2 linked regions of the Yarrowia lipolytica genome follow. The protein of the gene in region 1 interacts with the protein of each later gene in a pairwise test. Links are inferred from orthologs where the notes say so. Each region holds a gene or a part of one and is shown on either strand. Other genes may lie near its edges.

Region 1 (4,055 bases):
GCACTCAGTGTCGCCCGCAAATCGTCGCAAAAGTTCGACAACAATAAGCCGCTTCTCATTGGTGCATCATCTCACTGGCGTCTCCACCACATCCAGATCGCAACGTCCTGATCACAAAGTCGCCGCAACTCGGCCAAAAACGTCGCAACACGACCGCCGCAACCCCGCAGCGCTCCTAGCTCGATTCTGCTTCGGTTGATACTATCGCCGATAGAATGGGAGCGACTTTGGACCACAAAAACCGACTTGATCTGAAATGGGTCATCACTCACTGGCGTTCCTAGCCTGTCCTCTGAAGCCGTCCCGAACCGTTCCAAGGAGCCCCGAGCCATCCCGAAACACCTCTTTGCCGGCCTCCTAGCCCATACTCACTCTCGGTCGACCCATGATAATGACTAGTGCAACTTTGATTTGGCGGCAGATGTGTCTTAAGGTCAGATCGGGTTATCGCGACTTACCCGGCCGTGGGAGGGAGGTCAAGGTTACCGCGACCGGGAAAAGGGAAATAAAATGAATAAAAAATGATAAAAAATAAATCAAATCAAATCAAATCAAATAAAAGGTGGGAAAAAAGTGAAAAAAAAGTGGAAACAAAGTGGAAAAATTCAACCATTTTTTCTCCAACTCCTAACCACCTCCTATGCCTCTCAATACCTCCTGTCAACTCCAAAAACACAAACCAAGAGTCTCAAAAAACCACGGACCAAAGGACAAAACTCACAAATCAACCACAAAAGAACCACAAAACAGGTGAATGGCGGACAAGTGGAACGAGAAAACGACGAAAAAAGGAACCGAGGAAACCACCACCTTTTATAAACATTGGAACACAAACACAAAGCCAAAAAAAATTCTCTAATTCCAAATTGCACGATAATCAATTACAATTACACGATGATTAGTGCCATACCAAAACCCTCATTTCTCGGTCAAAAAAGACAAAAAAACAATGGGAAAAAACAGAACTAGCCATATGTAGTCACGTGATCAAGTATTACCCAGCTAAAATGATAAAATCACAACAAACGCGACGCACAAAAACAAGTCACCAAACAACCAGTCTTGGACGAACTTACTTCATTCGCACAAGGTCGGTTGGTTGGTAAATGACTCATTTGAGTCATCCGTTCAAAACTCTAATGGGAAACCGAGAAACTCAATTCCCCATCGGATTTACCCTAACCCAGCGGTGATCGTAAAAACCGGTCCCTAACCCGGGCTGCTTTCTGTGGAGAGAAGCGGCTCAATCTTTGCAGAAACACCAATGGGCTACCCTAACCTTAATGTCCTAATCGGGATACCCTAACCTCAATATCCCAATACAAAACCCCCAACCCTACCCAAACCCGCCTTTTTTGCACGTGCATACCCGGGTCTGGTTATTCTCGTTTAGCTCGTCTGCAACTATGTGACATACGAGAGGGAGGAAGGGGGCGGTAATTGGGGGGATTGTTGATTCAGGCTCATGTGACTCAATAATTGGGCGGGTTTTGCGCTCCTTTTCGGTAATATGACCCAATAGGACAAAAAAATTCCCCCTCCTCCGCCTTTGCATCACGTGATCACCGTGACCTTCCACCCGGTTCCAAATCAGCTGTGCAATTAAAGTTGTGTGGAGAATTAGATCAACGTGTCCTGAACTTGTTGGGGTGTTGGAGAAGGCTGCTTGTGATGTTCTTTCTGCAATTTTTTCGTACAAAAGGATTCAATTCAGTGTCAGGAGTCGATTCCAATTTCCGGAATTCCAATTGGAGCATTTCTCGTCGATTTTGGGCCGGCTTCGCTGCTCCTCCACGTGGGTTACCCGGTCTGAAACTTTTTCAAACCTACTAAAATCCCAAAGATTATATATAGACAGCTGGGGCTCTCTTTTTCTTTGATTTTTTTCCTTTTTGATCTTTAGGAATTTTCCCAACAAACCCCCACTTTACAACCCCCCCGAAAATGTCCGCCCCCCCCCCCAACTACAAGGTTGCCGATATCGGTCTTGCTGCTTTTGGTCGAAAGGAGATCGAGCTCGCCGAGAACGAAATGCCCGGTCTGATGCAGACTCGAGAGAAGTATGCTGCTGTCCAGCCTCTTAAGGGCGCCCGAATCGCCGGATGTCTGCACATGACCATTCAGACCGCCGTTCTGATTGAGACTCTGGTTGCTCTTGGAGCCGAGGTGACCTGGTCTTCCTGCAACATTTTCTCCACCCAGGACCATGCCGCTGCCGCCATTGCCGCCGCCGGCGTTCCCGTCTTTGCCTGGAAGGGCGAGACCGAGGAGGAGTACAACTGGTGCATTGAGCAGCAGCTCAAGGCCTTCAAGGACGGCAAGAAGCTCAACATGATTCTTGACGACGGTGGAGATCTGACCACTCTGGTTCACGAGAAGTACCCCGAGCAGCTCGATGACTGTTTCGGTCTGTCCGAGGAGACCACCACCGGTGTCCACCATCTCTACCGAATGATGAAGGAGGGCAAGCTCAAGGTCCCCGCCATCAACGTCAACGACTCTGTCACCAAGTCCAAGTTTGATAACCTGTACGGATGCCGAGAGTCTCTGATCGACGGTATCAAGCGAGCCACCGATGTTATGATTGCCGGTAAGACCGCTGTTGTCGCCGGATTCGGAGATGTCGGAAAGGGCTGCGCCCAGGCTCTTCAGTCTTTCGGTGCCCGAGTCATTGTTACCGAGATTGACCCCATCAACGCCCTCCAGGCCTCTGTTTCTGGCTACCAGGTTCTCCCCATGGAGGAGGCCTGCAAGGTCGGTCAGATCTTCGTCACCACCACCGGTTGCCGAGACATTATCACTGGCGAGCACTTCTCCCAGATGCCTAACGACGCCATTGTGTGCAACATTGGTCATTTCGATATCGAGATTGACGTTGCCTGGCTCAAGGCCAACGCCAAGAACGTGGTCAACATCAAGCCCCAGGTCGACCGATTTGAGATGCCCTCCGGCCGACACGTGATCCTCCTTGCTGAGGGCCGACTGGTCAACCTTGGCTGTGCCACCGGTCACTCCTCTTTCGTCATGTCCTGTTCTTTCACTAACCAGGTTCTGGCCCAGATTGCTCTGTTCAACGCCAAGAATGACGAGTTCCGAAAGAAGCACGTTGAGTTTGCCAAGTCCGGTCCCTTTGAGGTCGGCGTCCACGTGCTGCCCAAGATTCTCGACGAGGAGGTTGCCCGACTTCATCTCGACCACCTTGGCGTCAAGCTGTCCAAGCTGTCCGACGTTCAGGCCGAGTACCTGGGAATTGCCCAGGAGGGTCCCTACAAGGCCGACATTTACCGATACTAAGCGCTTAACCGCTAGTGTCTGCTTCTAAGCCCGCTTTAAGCATCAACTGCATCTGGCTAGTGCCAGCTTAATTATTTATTAAGAGTATATAGTCCCTCAACGGGTTAGTAATTGATGATATCATCGACAGACCAATCGAGCGTTGCGAGATTGGGCAGAGTACCTGAGACAGAGCAAGTCGCAATTGAGAATAAAAAGACATCTGCCCTCAGTTGAACGTAGACCTGAACACTGCAATGTAGTTCAACTCACTCGTTTAAAGACTGGATGATATAACTGCACATCGTCGGTAAAACCAAATCTCACAAGGTACGTGCGATACAATGATCTCCTCAACACTCATAGGAGACAACCAGAATAGAGAATAGACCTGGCCAAGACTCGCCTCATGAGTACTTCACGTGACGGATATTTACCACGTGACATTTACACATGAGGACATGTCATTTCTGGATATTGCTGGCAAATCGATTGACAATTGCGCATCTCTAGATCATCCAAAAGTTGTTCCCCCTCCCCCACCGTGCGGCTCGGAAACTCGGGTGGGGGCACGTGGGGGACATGTTTTCGGGACATGCTTTCGTTACAACATACGCCACGGTTATGATAGAGCCTTTAAACTACTACCATTCGATTTCTCCTGATCTTCCGAGTATAATGGTACTATATATATGTAAATAAGTTGACCATGTGTGATTCTGTGTGTGACTTTTACTGAGGCTATCTGGTGAGTTGTGTGTCCATAATTGAGAGTAGTTATA
Region 2 (3,125 bases), on another chromosome or scaffold:
TGACCTTCCTACACGCCAATTTGCAACGATTCCACGACCCACCCCGACCATCAAACCCTCAAACCCTCAGTGCCTTCTAATGCGCCATGTCGGCTGCGGTTTCCTTGTGAGGATCCAAGAGTCATGGACTGGCAGCGTGTGTGCCAATGCTGCCACTACATGGTAGTTCCAGCTAACAGTGGGGTCTGGTCAGGACACTCATTCTGCCTTGGTATGGGCTCTAGAACCACTTGCACCTGATCCACCACCACCGGTTTCCAGATAACCATAAACCCCCCGAAACAGTCGCGCGTTCTTGTCTGCAAACCTGGGCGTCTGCCGGAGCAGCAAATGAAAGTCTGATCCACCCAAGGGCTGAAACAGGGCTGAAAAATGGCTATCAGCGGAATGCTAATGGGGACTCAAACAAGAGCTTCGTTGGGTGGAGTGGGTTATCGAGAAAGCTATCGATTGATTCAGAATAGCAGTTGGCCGTCCTTCTCTATAAGTATTAGGCGTTGACCGACAATCTATCTCCGCACAATGCTACTGCACAAGTCTACGCCAGCGTGGAGGTGAAGTCTTCGACAGTTCAGGTGGGTGGGTACATACTTGCACTCGTACTCGTACTACAGCTGGCCGCTAAATCCGAGAATAGTTGGGCTACAGAAAGTTGTCTCGACTGGAGCACGGATATGTGGCTGGAATGTAGGTAGCAGATCGGCAAAGACACCTAAGAGTACGAGTACTTGTAATTAGGAGGACTTGTACGACTTGGGTTTCAACAGACTCATCGCAGAACTCCTTCCTCACGCTCGTCCCACCGCCAAACCTATAGCTCTTGGTCTCAGACAGTCTAAGAGCATACGAATGAAACAGTGGCCAAGTCGAGTGAGTGAAGCTCAAATATTAGTCAGGCCCAATTCTACAGAGTGAGAATGGTACATTCTACTGGCACAATAGCGGTACTCCTACTTACCAACTATACCCTAGGAAAGCTGTCTTTAGACCCTGAAAATGGCCTTTGGACTTGATCCGAAGGCGACACTCGTACCGCCACTCTTCGCCACTCTTCTTTGCTAGCTGTGAATACTCGGCAACTGTCAATGAGCAACTGATCTCGTTTTTGGAGTGAAGTTTTGAGTGAAGTTTGAATGAGTTCGTTCATGGAACTACTCGTAGCTCTGAACTGAACACTTCCGAGACTTGTCACCAAGGCCGAGTTTTCAAGGGTTAGAAAAGCTGTCTCGTCGGTACAACTCGTTACTAATCGCCGACACATCCGCTCACATGTGCTCCAAGTATATAACATGTACGCCACTCTACTATCAAACTCCATCTGTGGATACATTTCAGATTGGTGTTAGCGAAAAGGGCCATTTTGATCTCCCCCCCTCCGAACGATTGCGGTCATGGCTCCATGGCAGAGGCCAAAACGGACTCCACTGGTTGCTGCGTTTCTCCGAAGTGGTGGTGGGTGGGGAGAAGAAGATTAGGCCTGCAACTTTTTTTTTGTAGTCTCCCATGGGTGGGTTACCCGGCCCAACATACGGCCTACAGCTGAGTATGCACCTTCATGCAGGTAAATGGCGTGCCGTGGGCTGTTGGTGGAGTTGGACGACAAACCTGACAAGTAGTTGCACCCATTGCCCAATTGCACAAAAGCACACACAATGTCGATCACGGCGCAAAACCTCTCCTACACCTTCCCCAATGGGCTTGTGGGCATCCATCCCACCTCGTTCGACCTGCCTCCCGGGTCTAGAACGTTGCTGATCGGAGCCAATGGAGCTGGAAAGTCGACGTTGCTGCGAATTCTGGCGGGAAAGACCCTCGCCAAGGCCGACAGTCTCATTGTCCAGGGCTTTGATCCCTTCCGAGACTGTTCTCCTCCTGGAATCCGGTACCTGGGCACCGAATGGGCCGGCAATCCAATCGTGAGACACGACATTGAGGTCACCCAGCTGCTAAAGTACGCCGGAGGAGATGCCTATCCTGACCGACGAGACCATCTTGTGCAGCTGCTGGACGTGGATCCCACCTGGCACATGCACGAGGTGTCTGACGGAGAGCGTCGGCGAGTGCAGCTAGTCATGGGACTGCTGGTGCCGTGGGAAACTCTTCTGCTGGACGAGGTGACGGTTGATCTGGACGTTCTGGCCCGAACTAACCTGCTCAACTTCCTCAAGGAGGAGACCGAGACCCGACAAGCCACCATTGTTTACGCCACCCATATTTTCGACGGCCTCAACCAGTGGCCTACGCACGTTGCCCATATGAGCCAGTCCACCATGTTGAGTTGCGACACCTACGATGTGGTCCAGCGGGAGTTCCCTGGCAAGAGCATTCTGGAAATTGCACTGGGCTGGATCACCGGGGATATGGAACGGCGTGGGCCTCGCCTCCCCAGAGCAAAGAGACAGAGGGTTAACTAGGCTATCCACCGACAGTGCGATAGATACATCGACCAATGTACATGTAGATATATAATAGATCTGATACTAATGATATGGTTCCAATGGTATTAGACAGCTTCTTGTCTTGCGTCAGCCAAGGTGACTAAGTCAAAACGGCGCTAAACATAAGCCAAGAGAGATCTGACATAATATCGCCCTTAAGACCCGATGTGATACCCACTAGGGTTGCGTGAGCAATCTATACACTAGCCAGATGGCTTCTTTGTGTCTTTAGTGTCGAGTTGGAGAGTGGTGATACTCCATGGACTATAGCTGACTGTCCGAGTAGAGTATCAGCAAACCACATTAGACGACAGAGCAGCTCTTGCACTTTTACTTGATATTTTCACAACTGATCTCCAACGCCATTACTAATCAGATACGATGGATACGACGCGGCTGGGGCCCGGATTAGGTTGATGGAGATCGGCATCGGAACCCCAGTGCTGCTAAAGGTACGAGTTTCAGGTGTGCATCTACAAGTAGCAACAGGTGGGATATTTGTATGAAAGAAAGGGGAATTATTTATACGAGTGTGTGACGGGGACTTGGCAGAGTTGAATGGTTATGTTTTTATTCTACAGATGGGTCTACGAGCCGTGTTAGTCTTACTCCTTTCTTTCAGTTGCTGCATCTCACGGACTTGTTGCGTGTTCCCGTGTGGGAAAAAGAAACACGTAGAACCCCAAC

What was found.
Region 2: the proteins of YALI1_F15517g (region 1) and YALI1_D26467g interact in binary tests that used the Saccharomyces cerevisiae proteins (3 or more experiments, as listed by UniProt). The link is inferred for Yarrowia lipolytica from reciprocal best matches to the Saccharomyces cerevisiae genes SAH1 and CAF16.

The regions. Positions count from the first base shown.
Region 1 is NC_090775.1:1,549,684-1,553,738, reverse strand, and holds YALI1_F15517g (uncharacterized protein), read left to right. Parts: upstream 1-1,944; coding exon 1,945-3,294; downstream 3,295-4,055. Other genes in the region: YALI1_F15533g (uncharacterized protein), read right to left, coding at 373-387. UniProt on the Saccharomyces cerevisiae protein: Adenosylhomocysteine is a competitive inhibitor of S-adenosyl-L-methionine-dependent methyl transferase reactions; therefore adenosylhomocysteinase may play a key role in the control of methylations via regulation of the intracellular concentration of adenosylhomocysteine.
Region 2 is NC_090773.1:2,645,000-2,648,124, forward strand, and holds YALI1_D26467g (uncharacterized protein), read left to right. Parts: upstream 1-1,652; coding exon 1,653-2,414; downstream 2,415-3,125. Other genes in the region: YALI1_D26454g (uncharacterized protein), read left to right, coding at 373-487, 538-695.